4 linked regions of the Lytechinus pictus genome follow. The protein of the gene in region 3 binds, or shares a complex with, the protein of the main gene of each other region. Links are inferred from orthologs where the notes say so. Each region holds a gene or a part of one and is shown on either strand. Other genes may lie near its edges.

The links.
Region 1: dynein regulatory complex subunit 5-like (region 3) and dynein regulatory complex subunit 7-like share a complex: the UniProt entries of both Homo sapiens proteins name them as parts of the nexin-dynein regulatory complex. The link is inferred for Lytechinus pictus from reciprocal best matches to the Homo sapiens genes DRC5 and DRC7.
Region 2: dynein regulatory complex subunit 5-like (region 3) and dynein regulatory complex protein 9-like share a complex: the UniProt entries of both Homo sapiens proteins name them as parts of the nexin-dynein regulatory complex. The link is inferred for Lytechinus pictus from reciprocal best matches to the Homo sapiens genes DRC5 and DRC9.
Region 4: dynein regulatory complex subunit 5-like (region 3) and dynein regulatory complex subunit 4-like share a complex: the UniProt entries of both Homo sapiens proteins name them as parts of the nexin-dynein regulatory complex. The link is inferred for Lytechinus pictus from reciprocal best matches to the Homo sapiens genes DRC5 and DRC4.

The regions. Positions count from the first base shown.
Region 1 is NC_087251.1:24,802,637-24,810,375, reverse strand, and holds the start of dynein regulatory complex subunit 7-like, read right to left. Parts: upstream 2,974-7,739; 5' UTR 2,353-2,973; coding exon 2,177-2,352; intron 332-2,176; coding exon 37-331; intron 1-36. Other genes in the region: tetratricopeptide repeat protein 27-like, read left to right, coding at 2,974-3,139. UniProt on the Homo sapiens protein: Component of the nexin-dynein regulatory complex (N-DRC) a key regulator of ciliary/flagellar motility which maintains the alignment and integrity of the distal axoneme and regulates microtubule sliding in motile axonemes.
Region 2 is NC_087260.1:6,704,308-6,711,944, forward strand, and holds the start of dynein regulatory complex protein 9-like, read right to left. Parts: upstream 3,009-7,637; 5' UTR 2,893-3,008; intron 1-2,892. Other genes in the region: large ribosomal subunit protein eL33-like, read left to right, coding at 5,631-5,647, 6,156-6,308, 7,364-7,511. UniProt on the Homo sapiens protein: Component of the nexin-dynein regulatory complex (N-DRC), a key regulator of ciliary/flagellar motility which maintains the alignment and integrity of the distal axoneme and regulates microtubule sliding in motile axonemes.
Region 3 is NC_087251.1:6,709,599-6,716,990, forward strand, and holds the start of dynein regulatory complex subunit 5-like, read right to left. Parts: upstream 3,006-7,392; 5' UTR 2,665-3,005; intron 459-2,664; 5' UTR 422-458; coding exon 130-421; intron 1-129. UniProt on the Homo sapiens protein: Component of the nexin-dynein regulatory complex (N-DRC) a key regulator of ciliary/flagellar motility which maintains the alignment and integrity of the distal axoneme and regulates microtubule sliding in motile axonemes.
Region 4 is NC_087246.1:38,474,925-38,481,912, reverse strand, and holds the start of dynein regulatory complex subunit 4-like, read right to left. Parts: upstream 3,005-6,988; 5' UTR 2,890-3,004; coding exon 2,887-2,889; intron 1-2,886. UniProt on the Homo sapiens protein: Component of the nexin-dynein regulatory complex (N-DRC), a key regulator of ciliary/flagellar motility which maintains the alignment and integrity of the distal axoneme and regulates microtubule sliding in motile axonemes.

The sequences.
Region 1 (7,739 bases), about 18 Mb from region 3:
AGTCAAAGAATCAGCAAAACATCTGAAGGTGCTCACCAAGTCTACAGAAGGATCAAGGGGTTCAAAAGTGATATAGTCAGAAACGAATTCTGCACAGCCGTCATAGTCATAAAGTTCCTGGTATGGTAGTGTTGTGGGTCTGATTGTGGTACAGACAAACTTTTCTACCCCACACTCATTTAGAGGGCACAGAAGAAGTGGTTTGCGGTCTCTGTAAAGATGAACATACTGTCGTCGGAAGTTTTCTGCATAAGCCAACACCAGCTTCTCTTTGTTGTCATTCTCCCTGTAAGTTAGAGGGTAGCTTTGCAGAGGAAGGTCTGAAGGAGTCCTGTAGGATTTTAAGAAAAAAATTGAATAAACATAAATTCTTGAATTCACAAAGGAGATAGAGTGGACTTCTGAAACTTTTTCAATGGAAAATTCCAAAATCCTTCATATAGTGAGTGATAGTATTAATGACCCGCCTTGCATTTAAGACTGTGAGTGCTACTGTATGCATCAGAAAATAATTTCAGATACTTTAAAGATAGAACTTCGCAACATCCTTCCAAGGGAGTTTAAATAAAAAGATGGAAAATGGTCAAAAAGTACATTTTCAAATTCTTTATTTATTTTCCGCTAGCATAGCGGATAGAGGTCTTGACAGCAGCTACATTGGTTTTGTTAGAGTCCCAAGCAAGGTAAGAAACACTAAAAAAAAAAGACAGGCCTGACAAAAGTTAGAGAAATATGAAGTGAACAAACCTGAACTTCTGAAGACAAGTCTCGACAATTGTCATTTTGGGTGGTAGGTGCATGGAACCTCAATGTTCGGCGGCCTTACTTCAATATTAAATTGATTATGGGGAAAAAGTTCCATATGCACCCCCACCAAAAATAACAAAAGATTGTTGAGACTTCCGGTTCGTTCACTTCAGATTTTTCTATCAATTTTTCACTCTTGCTTACCTTAGTTGGGACTCACCTCATTTTATCTGCAGTCTAGACCTCTTCCCACTATACTAGTGAGAAGCGCTGATACTGAAAGGGGTATTTTAATGATTATCAGCCAATAGGTTGACTAGTCTAGACTCACAGACCCTTCACTGACTAAATAAACCAATGTCTATGGACAATTACATGCACTAGATCCTGCTCAAAATTTGACGGAATAAAGCCATATTTTGGTATGTATTTCCACTCCTCCATCATATATATTCTATATTATTAGGTCTAGATATTAGGGAGACCGCAATATATTTCTATCTCATCATCCACTTCATTGGACTGTCTGATCTTTTTCAGATCTTGATGAAAATAGTTCAAAATAGAAATCTACCAAATTTCATAGTAATCCATGAATCGGTTTTAGAGTAATAATAAAATGAATTTTGAATGAAATTCAGCCAAATGCTCCCAATACTAGGCTCTGACTGTAGACTGTAGTATAATTTGTCACAACACACACGCAGCTGAAACACACGACCACACACAGAGTGCAGATATTTTGTGTGCAGTTTTGCATTTGGTCTTTCTACTTTAATTCTAAAGTGATAGAGGAAGGGTATTTTGAAATTAATTCTGACACTTGATCCTAAAGGAAATGTGAAAAATGAGTACCGTACTTCCATTGGATTTGCAATTATTACAAAAACCCACCAGTTTACAAAATATGGTTTACAAAATATGGTAGGCCTATAGCCTAATAGGCCTACATTTATTCACAAGATACAAAACTCTGAACTTCTTTTTTTATTGCCACATCAAAATTATGGCAGTAACCCAACGACATGTAAACTAAGGCATGTTGTAAGGAGGTTATTTGGAATTGGAGTACCGGTACCGGGTATTTATTCTCTTTAATTTGATACCAAAATCATTAAATTTGGATAACGGGATCATGTCAGAAATGCATTGAACTTTGATTTTTTCCTCAAAACTATGACCATTTTTGGCTGTGTGAATGCGGTGAAAAGGCTTTTCACCGCATGATCCCATTATCCAAATTTAATGATTTTGGTCAAAAGGGTGAAATTTTTTGCTCTGTGTGCATTCACCTTTAGTCCCTTCTCCACGTTTTTATTTTCAATTTTAGTGGGGGTGCATATGGAACTCTTGCCGATTATGGTTTAATTTGTATTCATTGTTAAGTCTAAATGTTAACCCTTTTCATACAAATGCAATTCATCCTTACATGTCTATTTTAGGAGGTTCTAAAACAATCTGGTCAAGCTCGTCTTTCAACTCGCCGACTGCTGCCAAAGCATCAGCTGGAATCTCATTCTCTGTGCCAGTTCCCTCTTCTAAAATTGTCCCATCATCAACTCCACTGTCAACAACTATAGATGGACCATCTCCTACTCCTTCCATGACAGAAATTTCTCAGGAAATTACCCTCTAAAAGTTACTGATTTGTTTAATATTTTAAGAAAAATGGAAAGGTCGAATTGACATTTGTTTTGAACGCTAGCTCTGCACGACATCACGGTCTAGTCTGACGTCTACTCACAGCTTATTGTATACAGATATCCCTGCACCATAGCAACAACGTATAATATAGTTCTTTATCCAGGCTCAAATATTGAGAAATTTTGAACTAAAGGAAATCCGAAAAACAATATTCAAAGGATTATTGAAATAAAAACGCATAATTAAACGATTTTAATGTTGATTTAATACTTTAATATGCGCGGAGGAATAACATATTTTGTGAAACACAAACTATATTACAGACAGATCGTTGATGGCAGTATATTTTTCATTCAGACAATATGGCAGCGCCCATGGCCATAGCATCAACACGCTGGCAGTGTTTTTCATTGAATCCCGGCTTCATTAAGTTCTGATATTTTCAGTGATAGATCATTGATTATATCGAATTTTGAGTTTCGTGAGTTATTCAGCCAACATTTTATGAAACCGTTATCTTTGTTTTTAGAAAAAAGGATCCTATATTATCAGTAACTGAAGCTAAAGCCTAAGCACACAAAAATGTCGATGTCGCATGAGTTCCCGTGTGTGTGGCGAATAGAGAAAAGGATTGCGCAATCACTCGGAAATGAAAACATCGGGGAGTTGGTGGAGGACAGTGAGTTGGAGCTCTGTGAAGAATGGATAAGGGAATTTGTCCCCAATGACATCGATCTGGACAAAGAGGGTAATGATTGGCCTAGTTATCCGAATTCCCTAGATAAATAATTAATTGGGAAGGAAGTCCATATTTAACATATTTAACAAGAGATGGCCTTGCGTTTTATGTTGGGCCCGCAAATACACTCATTCAATGAACAAGGTTATGATGCGCAAATACATGAAATAGGTGGTAACTGGTATTGTTACATTTGCATGACAAGCACAGACATGATTAATGTTATAAAACTTGAAATACATGTGCTACATGGGTATATTTGGTATCACATTAAAGGAAATCTTTATACCAATTACTTTAAAGATTAAAGGAATACACGAGATTACTTCATTTACCAGTAATTAGCAATTATGTAACATCAATTGGCCTTTTTTGCATGGTGGGTCAAATTAGTTTAAAGGATACCTAATTAAGCTAAATAATAGTATAAGTAATTGATGTCAATCATGAAATTAACACGATTGAAATTGTGGCTGTCTGATGTAAAGAAAATGAGGAGAGATAAAGTATAGTTGTGGGTTACACCTTAAATAAAATTTAGAAGCTGCAAAAATTTCAAAGGGAAAAGCACAAACTAAAGACTTCAGAGAGAAATCAATTTATTGTTAATTATGACCTCATGGTTTCAATTTTGACAGTTTAGACTGACAGTGATGACTTCAATGTGTTCGAATCTTCAGATTATTCTGGTAACATAAACACCAGTACACCTTTTATGCAATTTTGATTGCTGAAAACTTGTTTGGAGCAATAAAGACCTCATCTGATCTATTTTTTAACTCTTTTTTTCTTAATGTTACATCACACTGCGTCTATGAATCAGTAGATGACACATTTGGCTGGCACAAAAGTGTTCAGAGAATATTTTTCCCAATTATCAAAAACCTACTTGAGAACGACACTGGTACAAAGATAACTCTAAACAGAAGCAATTGTACCCATAGAATGTGTTTTGTATTGGCATTTGGTATCACATTAAAGGAAATCTTTATACCAATTACTTTAAAGATTAAAGGAATACACGAGATTACTTCATTTACCAGTACCAGTACGACCAAGAGACCATGTCCTGCAAGAGGATATATTTAAAATACATACATGGGCATTTTCACCACAGATGGACACAGAGGCAAAAAAATCAAGTTGATATTCATGTCAAATGCTTTATGTTTTTTAATAATACAAGACCTGAAGTTTCTGAGACAAAAAAATTTTCCGACTCTGGCAGCCATTTTTTATTTCAAAATGGCTGCCAATATATGGATACAAATTAGTGTTGAAAATAGTATATTGATACATAATTTGTTTTGACAGATTTTTAAAGAACAGGTTTGATCATGATGTTTTCGCCTGTGATTTAGCTTGCTATTATAACACTTTTTAAAATCCCACAGAAAGAAACACCAGTAATTCATTCATCTGATAAAAAAACATTGATGAAATATGTGATATGGTATGTAATGTCAGTTACCGAAAACATTAACTTTTTTTTCTCATTTCCTGGAAAAGAGGATATATTATATGAAACTTGGTGGATTTCCTCTCTAGGTAACACCCCTCCCTTCTACACCAAAATTAAAGATTACCAATTAACAATGAAGCCATAGCGTACCATTGAATATATGTAATGTCAGTTACCAAGTGGAAAATGTAATGTCAGTTACCGATATGTAATGTCAGTTACCATGATAAAACGTTGGTTACCAATATTGAAATGCAAATATGTGGTCAATTTTATGGTGAAGAAATATTGTATACTTGTTATTCAAGTCTTTCACTTTAATAGACTGGGCTATTTCAACGCCTAAGAAGACTGGGGGGGGGGCTGATTCAGCCCCCCCTTATGATCTCGGCCGTCGATTGCGCGATCACGACAAAAATTGGCACGCGCATTACCCATGGCATTATCTACAAAACTATAAAATCAAATTTTGCGAAAAATTTCATTGCTCATTAATTATGCTAATTTATGCGTAAAATCATAAGTTTGCTCTAATTAATAAAATAATGCACCTAAAATGCTTATTTTTGTTTCACATACTCTAGATAGGCATCTGATCAAATTTATTTTTCAAAATTTTCAACATTACATTTATTTTCTTATGTATTCTATTGTTTTCTAAATTTCTTATGTATCTCCTTGTTTTTCGACTTTTTGTTTTTTATTGTTTTTTCAATGGAAATCGTCAGGGACTTTATTTTGACCATAAAAAAGATAAAATTTATTTATTTTAAGCAGTAAAAGTAAAAATAATGATACATTTATGAATTTTGGCTAAAAACACCATTTGCATTGGATTTGTACACAAATTCACGTTTTTGAGTAATTTTAGGTCTGCATGCACTTACGAAATGTTGTGTAATTTTGGAACCGCGTACCCGGGGGTCACAATTTTGGTCTCAAAAGTTGCGCGAGACTTGAAAGTAAAAAGTCAGCGAGTGACCCGGTCAAAAAAATTGGCACGGCGGATTTATCGCGAAAAATGTCGAGGGTGGGGGCTGAATCAGCCCCCCCCCCCAGTCTTTTTAGGGTTAAAAGTCACACCAGAAGGAGCTTGCTATTGTATTGCCTAAATCTGCAGTATTTTTTAAGCTTAACATTGTGATGAAGGGGATTTCCCGGGTCGCTTTTTTAGTTTCTAGGATTCTTTTGAGCATTGCCTCGCTAAAAGTAAATTTCTGGTTTTTATGCCTGTTAGTAGTGTGGATGTGTGATACAATTTTTGTTTTTGGTTCATAAGTATAGAGGAAAAGTGAAATTTGACAGTTCTGATCAATGTTGCATGGATCTACTAAAACTTTTTTTTTTTCTAATTTACAAATAGTTCAGTTTCAGTTTAGAAGCTGGAGTTTATTTTTTGTTGACAGCTTAAAAAAGAAATTAGCAAAGAAAATGATTAAACAAATTATGAAGAGAATAGAAATCCGACAGATATGAACAAGCATTGCTTGCACTGACCAGAATAGAAATCAATAAAACTACATGGCTGCATGAGATTCGGGGGAGGGGTACGTGTAGCCTAGGGGAGGAGACCCTTATTCATTTTGCCTTTTTTGAGGGGAGGGGGAGGTTGGAGAAGGAAAAGGTTTAAAAAGTCGATATAAAACTGATGAATATATTATGGGTGTATAGTCCGAAAAATCCATGTGTACAGTCAATGCAATATTAAATTACTATAGCAAAACATGTAGCTGCTATGACCCCCCCCCCCCCCCCCCCGAGTAAGTAAAACATAAATTTCTTATCTTTTGATAATTAAAAATGTGAATTATTATGAAACTTTTATGATTTTAAAAAGCCTCACATATAAGTACCAAGAAAATTATGCCTTTGAAAATAATATAGCACTGGTAAATGTCAATGTGCATTGTCAGTTACTGACAAATTTGATAAAAATGTTCAAATCAAAGAATGGAATTAAGAAAAAGAAAAATAAAATTCATTGAAATGTTCCTAGAAACTCGGGTATACTTCCACACCAAGCTCACTTTCATGTGAAGCACTGCACAGAAGATACAATGCAATGATTCCACACATTTGACTTCCATGTGTTATCTCTATGGCAAATTAAGTGTAATGTCAGTTACCGTAATGTCAGTTACCAGCATGGTTGCGGAAAAATTATCATAGCCCTCAAAAGACAAAAACTAATTGTCTAATATTTTGACACATCTTAACCTAGTAACGGAGGTATATTTACATATTCAAATTATTACTCTATCTACTCAGGGACATGAGATATTTCAATTTCAATGAACACCCTAAAATTGCATGTCCTTTTTCGTAATGTCAGTTACCGACACATTTTTGCTTGCTGATGCGTAAAAAAATGTGGTTACATAGAAAAACTTAGTATCAGAGTATACAGCAAGGTTCACTTTATTAACTCTATCAAAAGCAAACTCCCATCATTTGTTGTTTTAGAGATACACACAATGAAAGGTGTGAAAACATTGTGCCATGTAATGTCAGTTACCGTGAAAATGCCCACATGTATAACACTATAAAATAACATAATCAAAGTATTTTTGCCAGGTGATAGATAAATGGATTTATTTATAACATGTTAGTTGTTTTTGTTCACACTAAGTTTAAGCTAAACCAGTTATGAGAAGTTTTCATTGTGCATTCATATCTTTTCTATATTTATGTTAAACCTGACTCTCAGTTGTCAACCTTTGGTCCACTGATCTTTGAGCCAAGAGATGACAAATCCCACGATTTGAGTCAAATAAAATAATTTTTTATTCATAATAACCACAGTAAATATATTATAATATACTGGTTAGTGTTTGCAAACTGTATTTATGCAACTACAGGCAAGACTACATAATATTTTTGGGGTAAATCAAGTATTGTTACATATTTACCCGAAAAATTGTGATGTAAAATTTTGTCTTAAAAGATGATCGCTTAAAATTATTTTGGTAAAAGTTATCCCTAACAAGTTATATATCATTGGAAAGGCCTCACTCTAAAGAGTTGAAATATGCATGTTATTTTCATATAGGGTGTAAAGTTTTTCTGATTTTAAGATTTATTGGGAAGTATATGTTTTCACAGTTTTTCACATATTTTGACCTTTAACTTTTTATGACATTACCCTAT
Region 2 (7,637 bases), on a different chromosome or scaffold from region 3:
GTCTACCTTTTTACTAAATAAATCAATAGGCCCTATCCCTCTTCAGTATCCATTGCTTTATTTTGACGATTCCTAATTTACTAAATAAATCAGAATTGCATCTACTTATTTTCAATCTCTATTGCTTTATTCCGTAAACTATACTTTTCATATAAATAAATCAGGATTATATTCATCTTTTATGTTTCTCACAATATAAAATTTGCTTTATTTTGTCTACGTTTTTACTAAATAAATCAATAGGCCCTATCCCTCTTCAGTCTCTATTGCTTTAGTTCGTTGATTCCTAATTTACTAAATAAATCAGGACTGCATCTACTTCTTTTCAATCTGCTTTATTTCGTAAACTAGCACTTTTCATATAAATAAATCAGGATTATATTCATCTTTTTATGTTTCTCACAATATAAAATTTGCTTTATTTCGTCGATTCCTAATTTACTAAATCAATCAGAATTGCATCTTCTTCTTTTCAATCTCTATTGCTTTATTTCGTAAACTAGCACTTTTCATATAAATAAATCAGGATTATATTAATCTTTTTATGTTTCTCATAATATAAAATTTGCTTTATTTCATCGATTCCTAATTTACTAAATAAATCAGAATTGCATCTACTTCTTTTCGATCTCTATTGCTTAATTTCGTAAACTAGCACTTTTCATATAAACAAATCAGGATTATATTATTTTTCTCACAATATAAAATTTGCTTTATTTCGTCTACGTTTTTACTAAATAAATCAATAGGCCCTATCCCTCTTCAGTCTCCATTGCTTTATTTCGTTGATTCCTAATTTACTAAATAAATCAGGATTGCATCTACTTCTTTTTCAGTCCTTATAGCTTTATTTTGTTGTACTTTTTATGCTAAATAAATCTCTTTTCATATATATGTTTCTTATGATTATGCTTTATTTCGTCTATCACGTTTTTACTAAAAAATATAAATCAAATTGCATCTCCCTCTTAACAGTCTCCATTGCTTTATTCCTCGTGCTCCGAGTTCCCTCCCGGTGTTTAATAGAGTACTGTCCAATTTCTCATAGGAGGGGACTTGGATAACGAGGAGTACTTTTACTCGTCATCCAAGTCCCCTCTCCTAAAAATACAAAACGGCAATTAACCCGTTGATATTCATCTACCCCTCATTTCCCTCCTCTTCAAAACCACTCTGCCACTTTTAGACAGTTTCCTAGAGATGATAAATGAATATTTTTGATAAGAATCATTAAAATTAATGAAAATCACATCAAAAACTCTATTTAACTGTCTAATTACTCCTCGTGATCCGAGTTCCCTCCCCGTGTTGAAGTACTGTCCAATTTCTCATAGGAGGGGACTTGGATAACGAGGAGTACTTTTACTCATCATCCAAGTCCCCTCTCCTTAAAATACAAAACGGCAATTAACCCGTTGATATTCATCTACCCCTCATTTCCCTCCTCTTCAAAACCACTCTGCCACTTTTAGACAGTTTCCTAGAGATGATAAATGAATATTTTTTATAAGAATCATTAAAATTAATGAAAATCACATTAAAAACTCTATTTAACTGTCTAATTACTCCTCGTGATCCGAGTCCCCTTCCCGTGTTAAGACTGTCCAATTTCTCATACAGGAGGGGACTTGGATAACGAGGAGTACTATTACTCGTGATCCAAGTACCGTCTCCTAAAAATAAAAAAAACGGCAATTAACCTGTTGATATTCATCTACCCCTCATTTCCCTCCTCTTCAAAACCACTCTTCGACAGTTTCCTAGAGATGATAAGATGATGAGTTCTGGTCTGAGTGGCATTATGTTCACGCATGGGAATAGTGCCTTTTTCATTTCAATACATTGGCACAGCACATTGCACAAATAGCACAGACTCAGTTTTCGAACTTATCCAAGCTAGGAAGACAACAAGTCACTTGACTGCAGGAACAACTCTATTTTTCCAGTAGATGCGGTATAAAGGTATAAATGAATATTTTCGATAAGAATCATTAAAATCAATGAAAATCACATTAAAAACGCTATTTAACTGTCTTATTACTCCTCGTGATCCGAGTCCCCTTCCCGTGTTGAGACTGCCAATTTCCCATAGGAGGGGACTCGGATAACGAGTAATATGCTATCACTCATTATCCGAGTCCCCTCCTATGAGAATTTTGTAGTCTCAACATGGGAAGGGGACTCGGATCACGAGGAGTAATTAGACAGTTAAATAGTGTTTTTAGTGTGATTAATTTTGTTTTATTTAGTGTTTTTTATCATTGTTTCAACTTGGAAGAATATATACAGCCATAGCATAGGACTAGGTCTAGGAGAGAAAAGAAAGACTATTTTTGTCGTTTGAAAGTGTCAGGGTCAGTTGTTATTGTGTCAATGGGAAAACGTGTGGTGGAAGTCCCTGTTCAGTGAGAAGCTTCGCACCGTTTCGCATCGCGAATAGATTTCTTTTGAAATTGAAAATCTTCCAACCGTGGATTCCATTTATTTATTTGAAAGATTGCTGATATTTGAGATGTTTCTCAAGTTTGTCCCCAGTGACTTGGATGACGATAAGGCCTGTAAATTTATCTTTATTATTTCTTCCCTTTTAATACCCCGTCAAAGAGCAAAATTGGGCGCGCCAGCGCAGCGCCTGATCCCTGAGCCCTGGCCCGAGGCTGAGCTACTCAGGCTCAGCTAGCTCCACATGACATGCACAGCCGCGCAAGCGGGCCCAGCCCGGCCCGCGGAGCTCCAGCACGACAACGTCAACGGTCCGAGGCGCACGGGCAAAACTGTCGACTTGTCTTTCGGCTAAACTCAGTAGATCTTTATTTAAGTCCATTATTCAAAGACACATTCTCGCAGAAGTCATAGGAAAGAACATATTCTAAGTTATTAGAGAAAACCTACCTGTTATCCCTTACGCCAACACCATGAAATTGGGGAGATTTCCCAGGAAGTAGGCCTTTCTACCTGCTTGTTTACGTTGTTTCCAAGCTCTTCCAAACGAAGGCTCGATCAGTATTAGTATGTAAAAAAATAACAAGAGTCCATATGAATATCAATCTTGTTAGTAAATTACTTTTATTAATATAACATAAAATTTAAATAAATATTTTAGTTATTTTCATATCAAAATCATTTATATCAATAATATCTGAATTCAGATAATTTTACTATAGATTTGGCCTTTTTCTCCTCTGTTTCTCATACGAGTGGTAATGCACATTTTTACATGAAAATTCACACCTTCATACCCCCTAATATATTATTATACGTTCAAAGAATGAACTTTACTAGTTAGCTTTTTTATTTTACTTAAATGTCATATGTTCTACCATTTATGATTGCGCATTGAGAAGTAGATTTTGACCGATTGTGTGGAGAATACCCCCATGTCCCATCAACTCCTGTATGCGTTAGTACATGGACCATGGTCGACGTCATACGGGATTCTGTGAAGTGTGATGACGTTCATTCATTGCGTTTCCAAGAATCCCAAGTCGAACATCCAAGTTGGCAAATTCGACGGGGGGGGGGGGGGGGTGTCAGGAGGCATGGCATTTTGGCTCTAATAGTATTGTTTCTCACCAGCCGACTTTGTCGATAAAATTTCCTCACCACGCACCAGAAAATAAATGCAGAATTCAGAAATTGTAAGCAAAAAGTGCCGCAACAGTGCAGTAGCCACTGCAGTGACGGCCAACGGTGCATGGGCCTGGCAAGTCTCTCTGACTTTCTTTCGTCTCTGTCTGTCTCACTCAGTCACAGTCACATTTCAAGGTCAATAAGTTATGACAAAGACAATAATAAATAATAAAATATGCCCACTGCTTTTCAATATTGAAATCCGGAAAGGCTGTAACTAAGTGTAAGCTAGCCTAGCCTGTTATTGTGTAATTTGCCTTTACTTTAGTTTTTGTCTTCGAACTCGATGCGATGTCATTGTTCAAATTCTCAGTCAGATATGGTCATCGTTTATAAATATAGGCCCAAATGTGCTCCCAGCCATGCCAGCGTTCTTGCAAGGATTATTCTTACGCGTGTCGGAAACGTGCCGATTCGGTGGTGGCCAATTTTGCACGTGATGTTTTGATTTTCACATGCGCTTTAAATGATCCAAAGTCAAGTTTCATTGCCAATTCAATGTAGGCCTAATGTTTTAATCGGCGGCGCACACCAATACCTAAAATTGATATTGGCAAAAATATTGAAATGTTAAGTTGTTAATCTAAAAAATTTGGGGTCTTTTTGTCTGGAAAAATTAAAATATATTTGATATACCTCTCGTTGTGGACTCCCGTTCTCCAAGAAGAAATGTAAATCACCCATTAAAAACAAATAAAACAAAATACTAGTCACAAACATCTCAGATTAATGTACGATCTATCAGGACATGTTTTAACATTGTTTTGAGGTGTTGATGAGTTGAAATGTATGTGATATACCTTTCGTTGTGGACTCCCGTTCTCCGAGAAGAAATATAACTCGCGCAATATTCTGACAACGGCGGAAAAGAAAATAGAAGTCACAAACATCTCAGATTTCTTTGTTTTGATTTTCAGCTTATTTGGCCTTCCTCTGTACAAAAAGTATGGGAGCTCTTTCTATTTCAGACTTTTTCAACACTCTTCAGCTTTTTTCAGATCTTTTTATTTGTGACCACTCACACCCCTGAAAATCAGATGTAAAATAAGAAAGTTATGACATTTTTAAGTTTTGCTTTATTTCATATAACAGTTATATGCACATCCTGATCGGTATGCAAATGAGGAGACTGATGACGTCATCCACTCACTATTTCTTTTGTATTTTATTGCATGAAATATGAAATGTTCTAATTTTCTCCTGATTTTCAAGTGAAACAACGATTTATTCCCCCTGAACATGTGGATTAAGCATTGTTCAATACTATATGGTTCAGTCAAGTCGGTCCTTGTTTTTAAAATCTGTAAAAAATGAAACAACATATTATTCAAACAATAAAAAACAAAAGAAATAATGAGGGACATCATCGACTGTCTCATTTACATGTCACCGAGTTGTGCATATCAATGTTTTGTGAAAAATAAGCGAAACTTTAAAATGCCATAACTTTTTTATTTTACATCTGATTTTCATGAAATTTCACTGTTATGCTGGTTTGATTTTTTTCTATTTATTCAAATCAACATTTTTCTGGGGTGGACTTGACCTTTAAGCAAATTTCCCCACAATTTGCCCACCGCTTAATAAACGTCATCGTTTAAATTCTCAGACCGAACTAGAGGTGCTGGTCAGAAAATTGGGATCGTCCCAGTTTTCAGGGACTGTCTGGGTTTTCAAAGATTTCTCCACACAAGAAATTTATTTGTGTTCATTCACCTGTCAAGTGCTGACGCCAATTAAGTGCGCTAGTCAATGTAAACATATCCAGTTTCATTGGAAGATGGCAGACGGTGAACCAAGGGGAATTGAGGTCACTGAATCTAGTTTTGAGCACTCTCAATTAGAGCTCTGCATGTACATTGCACCATTGTATCGGCACAAGTTTGAATCTTACTCTTCAGAATACTGAGGCACACATGCGACAGATATGAAATAATGGCTCAATTAAATGTGTATTTTTGTTCCTTTTACATACAGAGTTATTGGCTGGAGTTGGCAAGATGGTAGCATCCAAAAGGTCAGTGTCAGTTTCCAAATTTCTGATGAGTTCCTTTCAAATTGTGAAGGCAGCAAGAACCTGTTTCCCTATCATTTTGTTTTATTTTAGTGAGCCCTTAGACATGCTCTCTTATGGAATATTGTGTACTCTATCTAAATGGGGTTAGTTAAAATGCAAGTATTTTCAACAGGCAACAGTGATAAGAGGGTAGATTGGGCTAGTCGTAATAATTGAGATGCGCAGAGTACGGTAATCATACTAAAGCTCGCATAAGGCAACTTTCAACAAGTCAAATGATTAAAATCAATTGCCCAAGTTAAAGCTGTATTCTACTGCGTATTTCAGAAGATACCTATGGTCCCAAGGCAGACATTTGTACATCACATTTTGGTATTTAAATTTTCTCTCTGTGTGACTTTACTTGTACTGTGCACAATTGTTGCTAACCAATCGCAGCTACCTTGAATTTAACTTGGAGCATAATTGATTGTTAAGTCTTGTGTGACTTGGTCTATGTGCAACACAGGTTATACAGCAGGGCAGTTTTCACGGGTTACAGGAGAGGACTCCGCAACCAGCATGAAAACCAAGCTCTTCTCAAGCTAGAGGGAGTAGAATCCAGAAGGGAAGCCACCTGGTATCTTGGCAAGAAGTGTGCCTACGTCTACAAGTGCAAGAAGTAAGTTCAATAGGATACTTCCAGAGATGCCATCTGGGGATTTTTTTTTTAATGAAAAATTGCAAGTTCCATGGAAATACCTTTTCCACAAAGTTGAATTGTATTATTCACAATGTCCTCGTACTGAAAATTAAAAATAATGTTTTTCTACCCTCAAACTATTGCAATTCATTTGACAAGGTTGGCATCTCAGTACTCAAGATGCAAGTGCTACAGAGCTGGTGTCATTGTCAGGAGCAGAATTTTCTTGTGACAGAGAGCAGTTGCAGGATTATAAGATATATTTGAAAAAATAGAAATGATTTTTGTCAGCCATGAATTGGGGAAATATTACCCAGTGAAAATTGCTTTTCTCAGTGCAGTAGTTGAATGGGGGAAAGTAGGCGTATTACAAAACTTGCTTGACTTTAGGTTTTATACAAGAATATTCCATGCAAAGTCTCATGATTTAATGCTCAATCTTTCAAAGTATGTGCAATGTAAAATGAATCAAGCAGTTAATATCGAAAGTCAATCATTAGCAGACCAAGCCTGGAGCATGTTTTAATGTAATCTGTGCCAGTATGTCTGGGAGAAGTAAGGAAGGGATATTGGTATAGACTGTTGAACCAGAAGTTACTCTGAACTGTATGAGCATGATACAGGGTGTTCGTTTGTGTATAAAAACCATGAGATGGAATAATTTTGCTTTACAAATTCGAGTAGCATTTTTGGTCATAAGAGAAAAGCTCTCAACTAAGTAATGTACAGTCCTTGTAAAAATATGCTATACAAAAGACTTTATGCATGGCAGTCTTTAAAAAATGTGGAGCGAATTGCGATGCGATACCAGGAAAATTATTCCCCTGTGAGACCTGGTAGAGTCCAGGTTTTAGAGAAACTATTGAAAACCCTTTTTAAAAAGTAAGACGATCCTAAGCTTGGTTGAATTTTTCTTGTTCGCCTTTTTTTTTTATCACATTCCATGACAAATCACAATGTGCGAGTCAATTAACTGTTTGTAAATTCTGTAAGACTCAATTTGTGACTACACTCTCCCTTTGATTTCTTCGCAGCAAGACGAAGTGTCCCGGCAAGGACAAGCCAACCAACACCCGTGTGATCTGGGGTAAGATCATCAAGACACACGGTAAGAGTGGCGGCTGCAGGGCCAAGTTCAAGAGCAACCTTCCCGGCCAGGCTATCGGCAAGAGGATTAGGGTGGTAAGTAGCTAGGAGATTTGTTTAAAAAGGGGGCAAGTCCTTGTATGAGTTACAACCTTCAGTTTGATTTCAAATCTTCAGTATGATTGCCGACTGATATATTTATTGTCTTGCCTGCAGCATCAG
Region 3 (7,392 bases):
TGTGCTCCCTCAATAATTCAACCCTGGATCCAGCCCAGCTATACTGCTACAATGAATACTAAAATTTGTTTTACATACAAGGTGCTTGAGAGCAAAAGTAAGCGATGCAATGTTGACTTGCGTAAGTACCTGCAAAATTAGTAACAATATGTGTTACACAAAGCTCTGTCAGGAGAGGTACAGTGGCCAGTGACCAATCAGGATCCTCTGCAATAATGCGTCTCATATTACGATTGTCAGCTGCCGGATTAGTCTTAGCACTAGTAATGGGTGATGGTATAGACCGCTTTGCACTCCTCCCTCCCCTCTTTGCACTATTAGCATTGTTATTGACATTGCTTGTAGCATTATTATTTGCATTTGCATCTCCTTTCCCCCCTGCTGAGGACGGCTGATCTGAGAGAGGTGGTTCTGTTGTCATTATGACAATGTTGTTGTTGTCGTCATATAAAAACAATCTGAAATGAAGAAATAAAAAAAGAAAACAAAGGATTAAAAATTATAGCCTGGGCTTGTTTTATCTGAAGTCCTCTTTTAAAGACCTAGACTTGACCCAAATAGTGAAATTTCCTAATCATATTCCAATCAAAAGCTGAAAAGCTACTGAACACAGCAATGAAAGATCTATCCTTACCAGCTGCTTATTTAGGTTAAGAAAAACCCCATATACTGGGCTTCAAAAAATAAGCTTCTTTGTGTCTTTCACTGGCGGGAAATTTCATAAAATATGTACGTCCGACCCCCGAGACCTTAATTAAATTGTCTGTCTCTGATTTCTTGATCTTTTGACAGTCTGTAAAGTTCTCAAAGGACCATAACTTGGTCAGCTTATGAAGTGAAGTAAGACTTGAGAAAAATGGGGGTGGGATGTACAAAAAGGTTGATCATTTTATGGAATTGCCCTGGCCTAAAACACGTGACATCATGTGATAGTAGCGATGTGATTCCATAAGTTTGTAATAGAAAAAAAAAGGAGTGATTTTCCCACTTAACAGATTACGCATTCTATTTTCTACACTTCCATCAGCCACCCTTATCATTTACAGCATGGTACCCCAAGTCTGACAGTGCCCCTTGTTTATGTTTGTCTGTCCATATGCATATCTGCGTAAATTACATAGTCAAAGTCAAAGACACACAACGTCCACAAAGTTTAGATCTATACCTGCAAAACATAATCAGATATTCATTAAAAATAGGTCAAAATTGTGAAATAATATTGAATCTTAGCTATTTCATGTTATTATTGTTATTTTTTTAAACAAGTGCACACCTAGACCAAAAGCTTCGGTCTCTGTTATGTTGGTTGTTCCGCTGAACTCCGTTGGCTCCACTCACCAAATACAGAGACTGAAGTTCTAGCGCGATCTGTACAGGGGACTCAATGGTCATATGTTTATGTATTAAGTTCGGATAAAACAGGGAAGTGAAGTTGCGCGACAGCCGAAGTAAGTCACTGTTTTTTCCCCTTTTAAGTTTATTTTTCCCCATGTTGGTGCATTTCAGGCCAAAATGGAATAATAATCTTTATTTTGGTACAGTTCTTTTTGTATATTTTTATGAAATAAAGACAAAAATCGATGTGCCCCGTCGGGGGGATTTTGCATTGTTAATCATCTAATGGTGGCTGCACGATAGCGAGCGGTCTGTGTACAAGGAGAAATTTAAACAAAATAATGTTAAAAAACGCCTCGAAACAGACGGCTGCCAGCTGTCTAGTGCACACCTAGTTAATGCTTAAATAATTTTTATCTAACATTTATTTGAATGCAGGATAAAATTAAAAGAGCACTAGTGCATGCTGTGGCAGGGCCAGGGGATTGAACTCCAGACTTTCCTGCGCCAGGTGCCTTAGACCACGGCATCTCATGGCCTCATGCAACCTCCCCCCCCCCCCCCAAGTGAAAATGGGTGCGCAGATAGCCTAGGCTAGTATATATGCCATGGCCGGAGCCGGCCCAGAGGAACCTTTTTTTTTCAATCTGAAAATGAAAAGGAGAGACACTTTGGAGGAAAGAAGATTAGAATAAACATTATAAAGGTAGTTTGGGGGGTCGGGTGTCCGGACACTTTATATTTTTGAAGCCTTCTTTTTTTTCTTTGGATTACACTAAAAATACGAATTCAATCGTTGTAATCATCTTCTATTTTGTTCTCTATTAATATTTCCTAACATTTTGTACTAAAAATTGATGAAACTTCGCTTGTAAATTTTTCCAAATGACTTTCTAAAATTGATCGTCCGGACACACAACAACTGGGTATACAATATCAACTTCAATTTTTGTAGAATTTTAAAGAAATCGATGTTTAATCTTCAGTTCAAGTTTTAGTTAGGTGCGTAGACCCCCCCCCCCCCCCCTTCGGCTTTTTCAGTTTCATAGTCATACCACCACCAGCCCGAGGTGGACAGAGCGCACAACGACACTCAAGCCCCCCAGCGCAGCGGCGGCGGAGTTTTTGATTGTGTGGAGGTTCATCCAGTACCGTATCCGCATTTCGTCCGAAGCAGACAAATACTACGGTCCACTTTTATGTTCTTTTTCTTCCTGCTCACACAATATTATGACTGGAGATGAACACACATCGCTCTTAAATAATAATGAAATCTAGTTGATAATAAGAATGGACGTCTCATATTTTAACAATATTTCTGTTACTTACCTGCCAAAAAATTACGTTGTTGATACAGGTTGCTGTGACAACTAATTGGAAATGCGCATGCGCAAGATGAAAATTTGAATATTCATATGGCCGATCTAAAACGAAAGAAAATCCACTCTGACTCTGCCGCCGGTCATTTTGAAAAAGCAAGTAAGATTTACCTTTACATGGATTCTTAACATTCAATTTGGTTTGTGGTGGGCCGTGGTGCTTAATTTAAGCCAAGTTTAAAATAATAAGTTTCGAAGTTTGTTTGAACTTGTTTTATCCGTGCAGTAAACTAAGAAGTTTGGTCATTCATTTTCTTGCATTGTCCCACACCTTTCTATCCATGTACCGTAAGGGCACTAGTATTCAACCCGTTTGGAGAGTTTCCTCAAATATATAGAAATATAGAATTTACCTGAATTTCAGACCCGTTTTATTTCCAAGAGCAAATGCTGGTTATTCTTTTTCCGTTATTTTTTTCTTCAACCAGTTGACTATGTGCGCGGGCGATCGAATTATACGGCGACGGTTTTTGGTACTAATATTCAACCCGTCGGTACTAGTATTCAACCTAGCGATGAAAGATGGCCCTGTCTCTCAATCTGCCCTTGTCCCATCCGACTATGGACTAGACCATTTGAGATGAGACCAAACAGGGAATTAATCAAAGCCAGAGACTTACATAGATCTAGATCTAATTTAGCAATCTAAACCCTTTTGAGATTTGCTATCAATCCTCACTAGGTTGAATACTAGTACCATTCAGTGCAAAAGGCCATCGCCGCATAATTCGATCCTCCGCGCGCACAGTCGACAGCTTGACAAAGAAAATATCGACAACAGATTACCCTGGAAATAACAAAGGTATGAAATTAAGATAAATTCCCTATTTCTAAATATTTTGGGGAATATGTCAAAATCTTCGAATTATGCCGGGTTGAATACTAGTACCCATACGGTACTGTATGTAAATACATGTACGCACAGCTTTCGTAGCGCGCCGTAGTTAGCGGCCGAAGTTAGCTAGCGTAGCCGTAGGCTAGCTGGCGCGGCCGGCCGGCATAGCCATAGGCCGTAGGTAGGGTAGGCAACGCCCGGCACCAGGGGCCCGTTTCTCAACAACATAAGTCTAACTTCTTGACTAAATCGGAGATAGTGAGCTACTTGTCCGCTAACCGTTTCACGAAGCCCTCTTTACCAAGATCGGGTACAACAACCTCACTAAATATTTATGACACCTCCGAACCTGTCATAACTTCTTTCTTAATGACGTAGTGGCATCACGTGGGTAGACTATGACATGCAAAATTGCCTCGAAATTTGAAAATTGTAATCTTACGTAATCATTCATAGAAGTTGAAATTACATTGCAAAACAGGTGTGATAGATCATTCAATAGTAATTGTTATGCACAGAAACTATCAAAACTGTTGGTAAAACGCAACAAAACCACTCATTTTAAAATAGTAAAGTAATTGAATCGATAAAGATTCTACCACGGCAGGTCATCCATAACTGGACTCGTATTCGTCGTTTTCAAACACTTATCAACATTTTTGATAAATTCTATCTCTAATTTATGCAAAGAATTTGTCAAATCGTGTGTTTCGGTATGTAAAAAAATTTAAAAAAATTAATTTAAACTATATTTTGATGATGTTTGGAACCATAAATAAACGTATAATTATCATTATTTTACAAACATAACAATTGTGGTTTACTTTCGTAAACTATCAAAATTTACTATCCCGGGGATACCCATCTCATTGTCCCCATGTGATTTTTTAGTCATGAAATGATATATTCATAATTTGATTTTCTCAGCAATTAGATGCTCAAGTCTTCATGGTTTAAGTATGCATGGTTCATATTTTGCCTCTGCTATTATTTTTATTAGATGTATTTCCAAATTAATCACAATAATTGCAGTTTTATCACATTTTTGCTTTTCAAAAATTATGCTATTTTGTGACTAAGGCTACGTCTCGTCTGCTCTTTTTAACGATAATATCGATATCAAGGTATGCTAAGTTAGGAAGCCTTTCGAGAAACAGGTTTAGTAAGATTGGAATTAACTCCGTGGTTGGTGGATAAAGATAAGACTAACTTGTCCATGTGTTGAGAAACGGGCCCCAGGGGCCCGTTTCTCAACACATGGACAAGTTACTAGTTAGTCATATCTTTATCCACCAACCACCTGACCACGGAGTTAGTTCCAATCTTACTATATAAACCTGTTTCTCGAAAGGCTTCCTAACTAGAGAAGTAGAATACCTTCTTGATATCGATACTATCGGTAAAAAGAGCAGACGAGACGTAGCCTTAGCTTAGTTTTTAGTCGCAAAATAGCATAATTTTCAAAAAGAAAAATTATGAAAAAATTGCAAATATTATGATGAATTGGGAAATAAATATGTTCAAAATAATAGCACAGGTGAATTATGCATCATGCATACTTAGACCATGAAGACTGGAGCATACAATTGCAGAGAAAATCAAATTATGAATAATTCATTTCATGACTAAAATTAAAAAATCACTTGTGGACGTTGAGATGGGTACCCCCTGGAGACCCAATTTTAATAGTTTGCGAAAGTAAACCATAACGGTTTTCTTTGTAAAATGATGATAATTATACGGACTTTTACGATTCCAAAACGTCATCAAAATATAGTTTAACGAAACATTTTTAATCATTGATACTGAAAGATACGATATTGGACAAATTATATGCATAAATTAGAGATAGAATTCATCCAACTGTTAATAGGGTCTGAAAACAACAAATACGAGTTCAGTTATGGATGGCCTGACGTGGTAGAATCTTTATCGATTAAATCATTTTACTATTTCTAAATGAATGGTTTTGTGGCGTTTACCAACAGTTTTTATAGTTTCTTTGTATTACCATTAAGCCCGAGTCGAATCGATTTTAAAATTGGTGTTCGATCGATGTCATCGAGCGCCGGTGCAGATTTTGCAAAATCGGTGCATCGAAAAAATAAAAAATAAAATACGTCGGCCGGCCGATTCATTTGGTTCACACAATCAATCATCAAAAATCAAAATAACAGTAATGTCCAACTTGACTACTACTTACTTGATTTATATTGCCCTCAAAATGAAACCCATTGTGTAATTATGATGCCTATTCACCATTAATTTGAAGTTTATTTCGATCATAGTTCGAGTCTTACTCGTCTGCTCGTGCCGAGATAATTTATGCACGATGAATTCATGAATGAAAGTCATCGCCATCGATCGTGCATGCGCAGTACTGTGCTTTAATCAAACCAGAAAATGGCTGGAAAATTGGCGCGATCAACGTAAAATAAATCTTGCTTTCATGAACAATATTAATATCATGACCTTAGAACACGATTTAATCGTAATAATTAACAATAATTCGCATATGATAATCATTAATATGAATTTAGAGCTTGATGTGAAACGTTTGTATTTCGTATCAATTTTCAATTCACGGACGTCACATGACTATCGACTTGAGTGAGTGCACTTGTCTAAAAAAATAATTATCACGTCAGGATTGATTCTCGAACATTGTCAACATGCAGAAACTCTTTTCAAGATCGTAATATCACCATATAATAACATTTTACATGACAAAACAGAGAAAATTGTGTTTGATATTTTTACCCATCAATTTGAAGCTAGTTTGTGCCCAACTTTGGGCTCTGATTTCATGAATGGAAAATATGTCATACGTCATCGAACGCGCATGCGCATTGTGCTTCTTTTCTCGGAGCTCGGAGACGTCGTCCAGAGATGGAATAAAAATAAAGATACTGCCAGTATAATACTATTAATTCTTCCATATGAACATAACATACTTTGCTGACATTGTCATTATTTTTAGTATGGCCATAAAATCTTATTAAATCGTAATTATTTAACATCCAAAGACCAACAATAATTTATATGAATTTAGAGCTCGATCCGAGACATTCGTATTTATTTCGATCGCATGCTATTGTGTCTGACTCTAAAATAAATGGATTATCAGGATTAATTCTCGAACATTGTCATAACTCATATTCCACAATATTTCCTCACAATCGTTATATCAGCATTGAATACCAATTCAAATGACCATCCACAGAAAATTACGTATTTATTACCATCAATTTATTTGGAGCTCATTTTGGATCTCAGGCAAGTTACAGCGCTCTCCGCTGGTCGCACTTGTTTGCTGGCGCTGGCAAGCACGCCTGTCGTTTCGGGAGAGTGAGTGTATGGGGCCGGGCTTGGGACGGGGCTGGTGTGTGCGAGTCTGGACTGCGAGTGCTAGTTGACCGAAAATCATTCGGATCGACTCTGCGTGATTCATGTCTTTAATATTGTTTCATTTTAAACTTATATGTTGTCATCTGCAAATATCATTGTTAGAGATATTTTGGGAAGAATTCTGCATTGGTACCCGGCCTTTTTTGTGTTTTGTGATGATGGAAAATACAAACGAAATTTGCTCCATCATCTGCTTGTGCAACGCTCACCCGGCCAGCGCATACCGTCTGTGCATGCGGTGCGTGCATAGCGCATCGGCGCGACGGCCGGAGCAAACAAAAAATGACTCGGTTAGCGGACAAGTAGCTCACTATCTCCGATTTAGTCAAGAAGTTAGACTTATGACGGTGTTGAGAAACGGGCCCCTGATTAGTGCTGTAGATATTTGTCCAAAAAGTCAATAGGTGAATTTGGGAAAGAGTTCCATATCATATG
Region 4 (6,988 bases), on a different chromosome or scaffold from region 3:
CCTTTGACTTGGTTTTGTGACCTGAAACTCACAGGGGATGTTCAGTGAAGCTTGATTACTCTTATATCCCAAGTTTTATGAACTAGATCCATAAACTTTCAGAGTTAGGATAGTAATTCAACAAAATACCCCCAACACGGCCAAAGTTCATTGACCTTTAATGACCTTTGACCATGGTCATGTGACCTGAAACTCGTACAGGATGTTCAGTGATACTTGATTACTCTTATGTCCAAGTTTTATGAACTAGATCCATAAACTTTCAGAGTTAGGATGGTAATTTAACATATACGCCCAACACGGCCAAAGTTCATTGACCTTAAATGACCATTGACCATGGTCATGTGACCTGAAACTCACACAGGATATTCAGTGGTACTTGATTAACCTAATGTCCAAGTTTCATGAACTAAATCCATAAATTTTCAAAGTTATGATGGTAATTCAACAAATACCCCCAACTTGGCCAAAGTTCATTGACCCTAAATGACCTTTGACCTTGGTCATTTGACCTGAAACTCAGGCAGGATGTTCACTAATACTTGATTAACCTTATGTCCAAGTTTCATGGACTAGATCCATAAATTTTAAAAGTTATGATAGTAATTCAACAAATGCCCCCAACTTGACCAAAGTTCATTGACCCTAAATGACCTTTGACCTTGGTCACGTGACCTGAAACTCGAGCAGGATGTTCACTAATACTTGATTAACCTTATGCCCAAGTTTCATGAACTAGGTCCATATACTTTTTAAGTTATGATGTCATTTCAAAAACTTAACCTTCGGTTAAGATTTTGAAAATAATTTTCCCAACATGGTCTAAGTTCATTGACCCTAAATGACCTTTGACCTTGGTCATGTGACCTGAAACTCAGGCAGGATGTTCAGTAATACTTGATTAACCTTATGTCCAAGTTTCATGAACTAGGTCCATATACTTTCTAAGTTATGATGTCATTTCAAAAACTTAACCTTAGGTTAAGATTTGATGTTGACGCCGCCGCCGCCGCCGTCGGAAAAGCGGCGCCTATAGTCTCGCTCTGCTATGCAGGCGAGACAAAAATGAAATAATCAGTAAATCTACCATAATTGTTAGATCTTTCTTTACTCATTACATGCATAAAATTTATTGGCACCGAGTATTGAGTCTATAGATCTATCCAATTGATTTACTCTTTACCATTTCCAAAATTAGCATGACAAGTATTCATATCAGTATAACATATGATCATCAGGTTCCATGACATTTTCTCCAGCGACGATTGCTCCATTCTAAATTCCACTCACTAATCTAATTCATGACCAACTTCAACCCTGGGAATAACGCTATACCTTATCCTAAACCTAACATAAAACCCTATTGCGAACCTACCCCTAATCCTACATCTTAGACGAAATTAAGCCCGCAGCTAATGTGGTGTCACCAATCATCAATATAATCATAAAAAGAAAAAGTTTAACAATAAAAAATAACAATTTCTAACTACAATCAAACTCCCGACACAACCATCAGAGAGTGACAAATGTTAAAAGATTAAGCCTATCAAGTAGCATCTACATGTATAGCCCAAATCATTTTTATTATTTATTCAGCCATAAAGACTTACAAATCATCATACAATACAACTTGAGTAATTATATGTCTACTAGACATGTAAAATTACAGAAAAGAAAAACAGAGTAAAAATGGTTCTCCATGGGCCAGGGTTTAAAAAATGGCAAATTATGCGAATTGCGCACAACCCGTGTGCAATATGCTTTCGCGATTTCCATTTTGGATTCGACGGTGAATTAATACGTGTGGGGTACTGCGAACCGGCTTCAAATCACCAATTTTGAGACTTTTTCAAGAAAGGGCAAGGAGTGAGTCTGTGTCCATTAGTAAGTTTAGCCACTGTAGATTATGTCTAGATGCCTTTTCAACCATTTAGAATTTGAGTCAGATTTTGGAATATCTGTATATATATATGTATTGCAGGTTAATGTTATTTTCTTAGAACGGTAAAGATACACATATACAGACACACTCACACGTATTGCGAGGTTAGTATTAGTAATAGTATACTAAACTCGCACCATGAACCGCATTTGGCAGTGGATTTCTAACCAGTGGGTCGCGTGTGCTGCGACCCAACTTCTGGTGTCCACAACACACAACTTCTATGGCTTGATTTTTCTGTGCGTGGCGGCATGTAATGACCTTGAGTGTGATACAGACAAAGCACTGCATTCTGAGCCAGGGAAAAATATTACGCAGGGGTTGGGGGCGATTTAGCCCCAGGCCAAAAATGGTCAAAAGAGCCCTGGAACTAGTCGATTGGCATGGAATTTTGACTTTGTCATCATGATATCAGCGAAACCCTTGACTTACTTTATAATTACCTCGCCCTCAAGTGATTTTTAATCTAGGATCTTGCCTTCCGTTTGGTATTAATGATTTTTATTCATTTTGTGTGAACTGAGTATGAATGATTCTATGAATGTGAAATTTTTTTGATTGAATAATAAAAAAAAATGATTTTTTAAATGTGTGCATGTTGTTACCACATTTAATTTAGGTAAAATAATTTGTTCCAAATCAATACGTATCACACACATATCAACAAATCCAAACGTTGAATTTTGAAATAAAATCATGATAAACTTCAAATATCAAAATGGGCAAATCGGCTGATGCGCGTGCTGCAGGCAGATTCTCAGCCTACCGACAGCCAACAGCCTGCCTGGGCTGTCCGCCTAGCAACTTGGTAGAGTCCGCATCAACTAGATAAATCCTGCTGCCATCATTACTTTTAACTTAATACACAAAATCGTTCAATAAATCGCACAACAGAACAAAATGTAAGTTAAGAAACATAATAATGGATCAATTTAACAACTCACCATTTTGAATTGTAGATATCTAGTTCTCTTTCGGCTGAAAAATACGACAGTTTCTTGTGCCTAACTCTTGACTGTTTGTTGTTGATCATAGAAACCAATGCAAAATAACCCGGATGTTAAAAAAAGGAATTCCGCGTGCGCCATCTATTGTGAAATACATTATAGTTTGGCAAAGCTGAGGCCTGTGGTGGGGACAACTCGTACTCATGCAAAGACAAAATATTAAACAAAAACAAACAGCAAAATAATAAAGAGGTAGATCAGAGATGGAACGGAACGGAGAGGGGGGGGGGGGGGGGGTTAACATTAACATGCAAAAAGAAAATCAAATTTTTATGGTAATTTACTAATTTTCACGTTTTTGTACATGTTAATATTATTGAATAAGGTTGAGGAGAGGACCAGAAGCAACCAGCCCCCCACCCCTTCCCACCGGTTACACTGTTCCTCGATTATAAAGTACAGAGTTTGAACATAAGCAGAGAGACGATTAGAAAGTTCAGAATCTTAAAATTTACACAAACTTTTAATCACGTCTTGGTGAAAGTATACTGCATTTTAGAGGAGCAGGGGGGCAGTCAAATGTATTGCTGTACACACGCGTGACCCCAAAAACGCGTTTAAAGGGGTAGTTTTTTTTCAGTTTTGGACGCGGGCCACGCGATTAAAAAAAAAAAAAAAGGGGGGGGGGGTAGTTTTGAAAGACTGGTCAATCGCAGGGTCTAACGTATTTAGGGTATGTTTTTTTCAAAGCTTTTTTTAAAGACTATTGAAACGTGTTTAGGGCATGCATGTTTTTTCCCCCAAGCTTTTTCCCTGCGGTCATATTCTGGCGACAACTTGTTTAGGGGTCAAAATGTGTAAATAAATCCCGCGAAAAACTTGTTTAGGGGGTTATTTTGCACACAGAGAAAAAAATGTTTAGGGGGTGTTTGGTAATAATTTGGCCACGCGTGTGTACAGCAATTCATTTGACTGCCCCCCCCCCCCCCCCCGGGCATAATTATGCTGATGAATCAATTCGATAGACAGCAGTCTGTAATAAAAGACTGCATCAGATCAACAACAGGTTTTGGATGGTTAAAATACAGGGAAAGAAAATGAAGCGAGTGAGTACTGGCAGCGTGCTAACAATGTTTTTTTTTAATCTAAATTCATGTGGGCTATAATTTGCCACTAAAACTCTTTAAAATGAGGGCAAACAAAAGAAATAAGGAAGGTAGTACAAACAAAAAAGTCCAAGATAAAGTTGAGAAGAGAAGGAGAAAGAAAGGAGAGAAAGGAAAGTAAAAAAAAGAGAACATAGAGAAAGACGGAGAGAATACGAAATATTATATTTATTCTTTCTTCTCTTCTTTGTTTTATTTTACCTTTTTGTTCTATTTTTTTTTCAATTTTTTTCTTCTACCGTCTACCATTTCATTTTTTATTTTTCCTATAGATTTATCTTCATGGGAGGGGATTCACCTCCTGTGCATCAATTTCCCCTTCACTGCATATTTGACATTCTAAGCTTTTCCTCCTCGTTTCTGAAAAGTGTCACTGAAGTGTCCCTCTTTATTATGAAGCAACATCTTTCTTTTTTTTAATAAATATTTTTCTTCCCTTCCCAATCATGCCCCACTTCTCTCCCTTTCCCTTTCCTTCCATTTCCCTTTCCTCGAATCCATGCATATTTGACATTCTAAGCAATTTTTACAATCCTCAACAATTAACTTGAGTACGAAACTTCCCGAGCTGAAATCTTCGATACTCTGACATGAAAATGAACCCCTATTAAGGACTCTCTGCAGTGACCCATAAGGATGATACATATCTCACTCAAATTGAATGGATGTACAGTAAGTACCATATTTTGATAATGCGACCTGAAAACTTGACATTCTTCAGCCTTTTTTTTTTACTACTACTACTAGTACTACTACGACTAAATACTACTATACTATACTATACTACTACTATACTACTACTACTACTACTACTATACCACACTACTACTATACTACTATACTACTACTACTTCTACTACTACCACTACTATGGGGGCTAGTCAAATATATATATCTGTACCAAAAACCGATTGAAAAAAAGTGGTTTTGAAATACTGGTCATGGTCAATCGCGGGGTCAATGTAGGTATTTTGTATGTTTTTTTTTTTCCAAAGTTTTTATTTACGACGACCCAAACGTAGTAACGTACTTAGGGTATGTTTTCCCCCAAACTTAGTCCCCGAGGCTTTTCCTCCTCGTTTCTGAAAAGTGTCACTGAAGTGTCCCTCTTTATTATGAAGCAACATCTTTCTTTTTTTTAATAAATATTTTTCTTCCCTTCCCAATCATGCCCCACTTCTCTCCCTTTCCCTTTCCTTCCATTTCCCTTTCCTCGAATCCATGCATATTTGACATTCTAAGCAATTTTTACAATCCTCAACAATTAACTTGAGTACGAAACTTCCCGAGCTGAAATCTTCGATACTCTGACATGAAAATGAACCCCTATTAAGGACTCTCTGCAGTGACCCATAAGGATGATACATATCTCACTCAAATTGAATGGATGTACAGTAAGTACCATATTTTGATAATGCGACCTGAAAACTTGACATTCTTCAGCCTTTTTTTTTATCATTAAAAAAAACCGTTTCTCAGTATACATAAACAGCGCTAAGCGCGAGATGATGTTTTTAGATTGCATCGGATGTCTGGTTTTTTTTTGGAAAAAAAATGGACATTAAATCTGATTCTATGCACTTTTTTCAATCACAAAAGCTTGTCATTTGCTCATCAAATAATGCAAGCGCAAAGCGCGAGCTGTGAATTTTTGATATTCCTACAAATAAAGAACATGCAAGCTGTGTATCTCAGTAGACAATTAATGCGAGCGCGAAGCGCGAGCCGATATTTTGTTATATTACATAGGTTATGTAGATTCGAATCAGTGATAGGTCAATACACCATCACGTGACCATAACTGCGAGGATCGCATTTGTTATATTCTAGGTTTTGACGTCACCTCAGGGAATATACTGCGTTGTATTGTCAATTGCGGCGTTATATTCACTAAGGTGACGTCACTCGCTGCATACAAGTTGCGTAACAAGGTAGTTATTGATGTACGCGCTAATGTTAACGCGTCGATTGCATGAAGTACGCGCTTGATGTATTTAAAAAAAAAATATATTATGACGTAGATGGATTAGAGCTGTAGCAAGAATTTCGGGTTTGAGCCAGATGATGAATGCAATTCTGATGGCGAATCCACATAGACTATATAATATAACAGATATTGCCTGGTCTATCGTTTTAATAAATAACATTTCAACTCCCCTCCGAAGCTATAATTTTCCCTCGGGATAATATTTTCCCTCAGCGCTGCGCGCTTCGGGCAAAATATAATCCCTTGGGAAAAATATAACTCCGTCAGGTAGAGGAAATGTTATATTCAAACTCTAGGTAGGCAATATCTGTATAATATAGTACCGAAAGGGAACATTTAATCACTGTTCAACATTGAAATGAGGTAAATTTTGAAGAGGATATGGATTTCACTAAAATGATGCGAACGCACGATGTGCGAGCTGGAACTATTTGGTGATTAAAATTTAACGACTTACCACTACTACCACTGCTACCATACTGCTCTTAATTCTGTTACTATATATACTACTACAACAACTACTACTACTACTACTCTACTACTATACTACTACTACTACTACTACTACTACTACTACTACTACTACTACTACTACTATACTATACTACTATACTACTACTACTACTACTACTACTACTACTACTACTAGTACTACTACGACTAAATACTACTATACTATACTATACTACTACTATACTACTACTACTACTACTACTATACCACACTACTACTATACTACTATACTACTACTACTTCTACTACTACCACTACTATGGGGGCTAGTCAAATATATATATCTGTACCAAAAACCGATTGAAAAAAAGTGGTTTTGAAATACTGGTCATGGTCAATCGCGGGGTCAATGTAGGTATTTTGTATGTTTTTTTTTTTCCAAAGTTTTTATTTACGACGACCCAAACGTAGTAACGTACTTAGGGTATGTTTT